Linked DNA regions of Oryzias latipes. The protein of the gene in region 1 purifies or fractionates together with the protein of each later gene. This does not show direct contact. Links are inferred from orthologs where the notes say so. Each region holds a gene or a part of one and is shown on either strand. Other genes may lie near its edges. The genes, in order: beta-2 adrenergic receptor and usp33.

Region 1 (4,291 bases):
AGGGCTCAGACATATGGCATCTCTTATCTTTAATCTTGTCATGCCTTGAAAATCCACCACGAAACACCAGGTTTTGGTTTCTATGGTTGGTGTTAATGCAGGTATATAATCCAAAAAACGTCAAGCATCCTCTATTTAATCTCAGGAGTGGAACTGTCTTTGGATTTTTTCCAAACCACGTACGCTCTAATCTATCTAATGTGCGTAGAAGAAAATTATGCAATTCAAGATTTTGCGCAATTGAGCAAAAATCTTTGTGATCTTTAAGCAAAAAATCAGCGGTAAAAAACACATTACAACAGTCTCAAACATTTGCAAAAATCTTTGTTGTTTTCTTTTTCTGTAGTTTGTAAACCTTTTAAGACCTGTAACCTAAAAGGATAAATAAAATGTGCACGTTTATTGATACTTGCACATTTAATACACCTTCGAGAAAAAATACTTTAAAAAAAGGCTGAAGTACAAAAGTGTCACAAAAGATTAGGTTAAAGGGTTAGGATTGAGGGTATTGGATCATTTTATTACAGAATCATTTTTAAAAAGAGATATATTAACTTAAAAGAATTCAATAAGCATTGAAGACTTTCCGTGAAGTGTTTTTACGCATTCACAAACCAAGCAGAACTATCATTGCATTGTTGAAATTTGAATAAATGAGGTTTAGTTTGCATAGATCACATGTATGGAATAAATGTGGTCATAAAAGTGCAAATTTGTTCTTGATCCTCAAAGGCTTTCTTTTAGCTCTTGCTGTGAAGATCACTGCGCCTTTTACGTACCAAAACACTGAGGTCATTTTTACAGTTTGACCTTTGGATGTTAAAATGTAAGCATATGTTCTTGTATTGGCGAAGGTCCTGATTTTTATATAAAAGAGCAGCCTACAAAACTCAAAGGTTTTGTCAGGACAAGAAGTGTGTTAAAGCTCCAATCCAACCACTCAATAGATCTTGACAAAATTCACTGAGCTACACTTGCCAGTTGGATCACTTGTGAATCCAGCCTGATCTTACAAATGCTCAAAAAATGCTTTAACTAGTTTTAATTGGATACAGATTCACAAGCATGAAGCTGTAAACTCATACAGGAACATAGCATAACAGGAAGTAGACTTTATGACTCGAGCTGAAATACAGCTCGTAGATTTCAGTACAAATTTGCAGGTTTTTTAAATATGTAAATGTTTGCCTGTGTTGGCTGCCGTATGTCTCATGCAGCCCTGCAGCAGCAGCTGTTGGGACAGTGTGTTCAAACTCCTGTGAGCGCTCAGCACCCTCCACAGGCTAGTGCGCTGATTGGCTGAGCTCTGACTGTGATGTCACCATTGCATGCTATAAGGACTCTGAGACACATCAGAGGAAACACTGCTCAACGGAACGACTTGGTAGAGAGACAACTGGAGCTCAACCCGAACAAAAAGTACAGGGGCATGTGAGCCTTGCCAGTCTTACAGGAAGTATTTCAACACTGACATTCTGACATTTTTATGGGAGGCTGGGAGCAAAACAACGACCTGTCGAGGTTGGTATTTTTGCTCTTTCTTGACTCAACTTGTTTTTAAAGCATGGAGCCAAAAAGGTCGTTATGGCTGGTGCCTCTGCTGTGTTTTTTTTAATCTTTTGTTGCTTTGCTTGTTTTTTTGTTTCAGATACAAACATTCATGTTTTAAACTTTATTATTGCTGCATTTATTTAGTTCCCATAAGTTAGATACATGTTTGAATTGTGCACTTCCCCTCTTTTTACTGTGTCTGATGATTTTCTGCATGTGATTTCTTCAGATGGGAGTTACAGTCTCTCCAGTCTACTCGAATGTGAGCACTACGTCATTGTCCAACAACGAGACGGGCCACAACGAGATGGGCCTCAACGAGACAGGCCACAGTGAGACGGCTATGATCCTGATGGGCATCGGAATGTCTTTTCTGGTGCTGTGCATTGTCTTTGGAAACATCCTGGTCATAACAGCAATCGCTCGCTTTCAGCGTCTCCAAACTGTCACCAACTGCTTCGTCACATCTCTGGCGTGTGCAGACCTGGTCATGGGTCTCATTGTGGTTCCCTTTGGTGCTTTAAACATCATCTTCGTTAAATGGCACTTTGGTAAATTCTGGTGCGACTTCTGGACTGCCACAGATGTCCTCTGCGTGACTGCAAGCATCGGGACCCTTTGTGTCATCGCTATTGACCGTTACGTGGCCATTACTGCACCCTTCCGCTACCAGTCACTATTGACAAAGTGCAGAGCTCGAATTGTGGTCATCTTTATATGGGTGATTGCTGCTTTGACATCCTACCCGCCCATTCATATGAACGTGTGGAGATCCAATACATCGGAAGCTGAGAAATGTCTTAATAAAACAGACTGCTGCCAGTTTCACACAAACATACAATATGGAATCACCTCCTCCATCATCTCCTTCTACATCCCTTTGATCATCATGGTTTTTGTCTACAGCCGTGTTTTCCTGGCGGCCAAAAGGCAGCTAAAAAAGATTAACCAAAGCGTTGGACGCTTTCATGTAGATTCTTCGGAGGACAAGAATGGCCGTGGACAAAAGAAGGCAAAGTTTTACTTGCGTGAACACAAAGCCCTGAAAACTTTGGGTATCATAATGGGGACCTTTACTCTTTGCTGGCTACCATTCTTCATCCTTAATGTAATCGCGTCCATATGGAACGTGAACAACTATAGCGTATTTATGATTCTGAACTGGATAGGCTATTCAAACTCTATGTTCAACCCTGTCATTTACTGCCGGAGTCCTGAGTTCAGGTACGCTTTCAAGGAACTCCTGTGCATCAGGAGGAACCATCTGAGCCACCAAGGCCAAACAAATGGATACATCTACAGCAGGCACAGCTGGCAGAGTGAGCAGCAAGGGAGGAGCAAGTGCAACTCGGAGGACAGTGATGCCAATGAGGCTTGTCTGATAAAAGGTGCAGGGGTGGGCAGTGGTGTGGACAGAGCCATAGACCCCAATGGAAACTGCAACAAAGGTATAACGACTGTCACAACTGCCCTTTAAGCACGGACCACCGACCCTTCAGTCAACAGAGAAAGATGAAAGCCTATACACTTATGAACATTTAGGGCTTTTCTCTCAATCGCTGATTAAGGTAAGGCCAGTCAAAGTGGCTGGCAGTGTTTCAAAAGTGTTTCAGAGAACCTGCAACGATCACATCAAGCTGAGGAACATTTTTTTTAAGTTAAACATAGTGACTACATATTGTAATGTATTTTTTTTATTACATGATGACTACATCTACCTCCCTAACGGCTTTACAGTGTTAGTTTCTTTACCGGCTTACATTCTTACCTTTGGAGTTAAACGAGAGCGATGTCTCAGCTGTGTGTTGAGCCTAATAAATGGCGTGTGAATAGTACATTTGCAGATTATAAGGCTTCATCCAAAACCTTAGGGCATGCTTTATTTATTTTTTGCTCTTTCTTGAGGAGGGAAGCCACAGTTTTTTGTATGGTATAAAACTGTATTTGAGATTTTCCATGCGATTTTTCTTCCAATGCAAAGAATGGATTTTTGAACCAGTCTTGGTCTTTGCATCAAAAATTACATTCCGACAACACTTGAGGAATCTATTAAGTTGTAATCTTTTTTTCAGGGAGCTATATTGGCTACGCGTGAGGCAAAACACGTCTCAGTCCTGCTCTACTGTGCAAGACTGTGTTTAAAGGAGTTTATGTTGTCAGCAGAAAGCACAAGAGATATGGCTGGCTAATCTAGATCCTAATGCTGAGCCTAAGGAACGCCTGTAGCTGTTGGGTTAATGCCATCATAAAACATCAAAGCTTGTTTTATCAGATAACGAACCGTAAAATACCTATAATTTTTGGGAGGAACGCTAAGTGCAATAATATAAAACTTGGGCTGAAATGCTCACCGTTTTCATAAATTCAAACATTTCTTTTGGCTTGTTACATATACCTGAACTATGTCTATTTTCCACTTGTTGCAAATCTAAAACCACTTTTTTGTTACAAATAACAGTGAGAACGACGATTCTTTTTCTTCTGTGCGACAAATTTGAACCATAGTTGACCCATAGCTGCATGAGCCTTGTTTGTTTATCAGATTTTGCAGTTGCCATGTTTCAGTATGTGCACAGTTTACCGCAACCAGAGAAGCTGTTTCCTCATAGTGCAAGGGTACAGACAACACGTAATCATAAACAGGGTGTGAATGCAGCCAAATGACAAAGTTCTAGCACCAAGCCATAACGGTGAAGTCAGCAACCAGACAGAAAAAAGAAAAAATCCAAAGCTTGTATTC
Region 2 (3,818 bases), on another chromosome or scaffold:
GCGCTGCCAGCCCCGCCCCCAGGCTAACACACACGCCCACTTTCTCAGTGGAACTAGCGGTGATTGGCTACAAGCTCTTATCATATATGCACTCAATGAAGATGCATCTTTTCAAATATTTTGGATGTTGTTTGTTTTCATGTGCGAAACACAGACATGCTGCCAAGGCCGGCTCTAGGTTGACGTCATGAAATAGGCGGTACCCACAAAGAGCGCAAGGCGGAGCCTCAAAGATCGAGTCGTCTTTCTTCCGTGTAGGAAAATGAGCTGCAAAAGTAACTTGTATTTTTAAAAAATTGTTCTTTAGTGTGCCAAAGGTAATATACCATCAGATATATGGAAATAGTTTACTCAGAAAGGCTCAAGAATAGCACAACACAGGCCCTTAAAATATATAGAATTTAGCAGAACACTCATTTTAAACGTAAACAGAGTGATGTAGGGATGCAACCTTCCCCATGATTCGGTTCAAACACAGGGTTTGGTTTTAAACCAAGAACTGTGCCCTCCTAGTAAATACCCTTCAAGTGAGACATGCAAATGTAATAACACATTTAGTTTCCCTCTACACAACCATATGCTACCATTCATATTTATGTTTGAATCTATATGTATGACTGCACTGAGCATCCTTTGTCCTACAGCAAAGCCTCAGCAGAACCGTTCTCTGTTCCCGTTTTTCATCAGAGCTCAGTCATTTTCAGTTCTGTGACTCTTTTCCTTTTTATCCGGAAACAGAGCTCCCTGTTTGAAACCCTTTGTGGCGTCTGTCCCTGGTCTGGACCAAAAAGGCATTAGCTGCATAAAGAATCTCCGCCTGAATGTGGTGGAGAGGTTTGCCGAGGCATCAGACAAAAGAGAGAGAGATTTAGCAAACCTGCTGATCACGAGAACAGTGGGAAGAATGGCGTCTCACATCAAAAGTTGAACTAGTCGTTTGTCACTAATATCATTTAAAAAATAACACTTGTTATTTCACTGAGTGAGGTGACTGGATGAAGTGTGTTGGGTAAACTTGGAGGAGGCTCACTTCACTTACTGGGATTGTAAACTAAGAGGTGCTTTGGCATTAAGCTTTTGCCATGGGCCATATGGTCCCTGGAAAGCCAGAGTGAGAACATTAAGAAAGTCTAGTTCCCGTGGAGTCACAGGGCTGCTCTTTGCCTTCAGTTCTGTCTGTAACCTTTGTGAAAGAAGTTGCACAGTGGACTCGGGCAGTTTCTAACCAGATGTCAAATGTAAATATAAGTCACAAGTGTTAAAAAGGAACCTCTGCTAAAGCTATGAGAACGTTACAGAAGATTTGTCAAAAACCAAAAATCCTCAGCAGGATGAAAGCAGTGGCTGCATTTTGCCAAAATGCAAAGAAGACAATTGGAAGGAAAGTTCCGACACACCTCCATGCACACACAAGAAGTCATCATTGGAAATGGGCCCTGGCTCAGCAAAGGTCTTGAACTTGTTCAGCCACTGGCGAGAGATGTAAAACTGCAGAAGGCTGGGCTCCATCATGTTGAATAAGTTTGACACCCTCCCACGTTCCTTCACGGTGTCCCCGTTGCTCTTTCTGTCACAGAAACAGTTCATATATTAATCCGCTGTAAGAAGCTCGGGGAATTTCAATGTCTCAGACATAACCGAGAGCCTGAATTATTCATTCTGGGGGGTCAGCTTACTTATAGAAGAGCACATAGGCTTCAGCGTTCTGGACACAGGACTCAGACACCTCGGTCACGCTTTGGTCGTCAAACTCGTACCACAGATTGTTGGAGTCATTCCTGCAGTACGCTATGTAGTGGCCACCTGGGATCAGACAGGGAGAAGAGTAAGAGCAGCGTCCGCAAACCCATCCCTGTAAAAGAATGTCATCAGGGCGCATTTGTGCCAACGGATGGCAAATGCCCCGCTCTCCGCCAAGAAAGGGGAGTGACGGCGCCCACTCACTGCTGGCAGTGCCGTGGTGACAGATGACGGACAGCAGGTCATAGTTGGTGGTCTGGGCGGAGCTGTCTTTGGACAGAAAGGGCTGCAGGTCCAGCCCCTCAAGTGGGAAGGACACATGGGTGCTTATCTTGGTGGAGAACATCAGCTCATGTCTGAACCGCTTCAGATGAATACACAGGATCTGCAGCAGAGCAAAAAAAAACAACGTAGATTTAAAAAAACTGCGGGCCATAAAAAAACTGCTTCAACATCCAAAATGATTCGCACCTCTGGCAACTTTTGCATTTTACAGAATTTGACTCCGTTTCGTAACCTGAAGAGGAGAAAACGAAGAGAAAAATCACTTCAATCCATCCTTTGCTGTTTTTCATTAGAAGCAAATTCTTGTTCAGCGAGGTGTAAATATGAAGCTTTGCATTTACTAACTTTTTGCATTTTTCGCAGCTGTACATATTGTCTCCTGGAAAACAAAAAGATGCAGTTATTGATAAATCAATCCAGAGATTTGAGTTGGACAAAACCGACATTTGTTCCAGCACTTCATTACCTTTTAATTCGTCTCTGGCAAAGAATGCAGCCAGACAGTCTTGTAGTGTAACCACTGGACCCCAGAACCAGCTGGAGAAAAAGCACAGAGGAGTTATTTACCCCAACAGCAGCAACGACATGCTGTAGATGGAACAGGGTTGTGTTCCTCTATCATACATGCGTACCTTTTGATGTACTCCATGACAAATGCTATCCACCCCTGAGCTGCATACGCCTCCCCACAGGAGCCAGCTTTTACCAGCGAGGTCTGGTGGGTGGATGAGTGCAGCTTGGCCAGATCTTCCTTTCCCGGAATGGGCAATGAGATATCCTGGAAATTCTCCAGGGTCACAGACACCTGACAAACACAAACCGCACAGCCAGCAAGGCGTTAGGAATCCTCACCTTTAAGATGTTTCCACACGGCAATGTTTTACCTACAGGTTAGTCTTTCAATTGGAGCAAAACCTCACAAGTATGATTGAGCAGTCTTTGAAAACAACTACAGAACCCTACTGTCGGACCCTTTCCCATTAAACAGGACTGAGACTTGAGTTCAGCAGGACTGTAGAGATGTAACAACACTAACCCGATCACAGGTGAGGCACTGAACCGAGCTCACGATGGTCCCATCGAAGACGTCTGAAATGATACTTCTGTACTTCTTCTGCCGCTTGCTCTTCGTTGGGGAGAATGTGGTGACAGCTGGACGAGGACAGAGGCAGAAATGTGAGAACATGTATAGATTAGCACGCAAGTCGACAAAAAGACAGAACACGAGGTTACATTTACCCGTCCTTAAGTTTCCAGCATTTAATGCAGATTTGACTGATTGCAGGGTTCAGGTTCACCTCTGAGCCTCTGCCACACACACACACACACACACACATAAACACACTGGGATTTGTACCTTTCTTGTGAGAAGGGTTCAGGCTCGGCCAGCCACAGGCAGCTTTGGGCGGGCTGCTGGACAGTTTGGGAATGTGTCCCTCCATCGAGACTGGACTTTGTGGTCTTGTTGAGTTGGACATCTGGATATCTGGAAAACATTCTGGCGAGAGGAGAGGCGGGTTTTAATTCATTTTCTTTTGGAGATCTAAAGCTCCAGAAGCCGCTCAGGAATGTCAGGTTATCGGTGAACATACTGCACTGTTGTGAGGATGTCTGTGGGATGACTGTGGTTTGTCTGCACTACGGAGGCAGCCTAACAACCATACATAACCTCAATGCTAAACATGATTGTTCACAAATTAAAAATAATCCTTTCAATGATTTTACTTGACTTTATCATGAATGTCGTCATTCATGAAGTTCACTGCACATGCTTTATGAAGTAGAACTCTTTA

Evidence for each region.
Region 2: the proteins of beta-2 adrenergic receptor (region 1) and usp33 purify together in Homo sapiens (affinity purification with western blotting; 3 studies listed by BioGRID and IntAct, with this or other methods). This does not show direct contact. The link is inferred for Oryzias latipes from reciprocal best matches to the Homo sapiens genes ADRB2 and USP33.

Annotation. Positions count from the first base shown.
Region 1 is NC_019868.2:20,753,439-20,757,729, forward strand, and holds the start of beta-2 adrenergic receptor, read left to right. Parts: upstream 1-1,348; 5' UTR 1,349-1,521; intron 1,522-1,780; coding exon 1,781-3,028; 3' UTR 3,029-4,291. UniProt on the Homo sapiens protein: Beta-adrenergic receptors mediate the catecholamine-induced activation of adenylate cyclase through the action of G proteins. The beta-2-adrenergic receptor binds epinephrine with an approximately 30-fold greater affinity than it does norepinephrine.
Region 2 is NC_019875.2:4,221,957-4,225,774, forward strand, and holds part of usp33 (ubiquitin carboxyl-terminal hydrolase 33), read right to left. Parts: intron 3,524-3,818; coding exon 3,383-3,523; intron 3,178-3,382; coding exon 3,062-3,177; intron 2,831-3,061; coding exon 2,658-2,830; intron 2,563-2,657; coding exon 2,492-2,562; intron 2,405-2,491; coding exon 2,371-2,404; intron 2,258-2,370; coding exon 2,212-2,257; intron 2,126-2,211; coding exon 1,945-2,125; intron 1,804-1,944; coding exon 1,677-1,803; intron 1,568-1,676; coding exon 1,398-1,567; intron 1-1,397. UniProt on the Homo sapiens protein: Deubiquitinating enzyme involved in various processes such as centrosome duplication, cellular migration and beta-2 adrenergic receptor/ADRB2 recycling.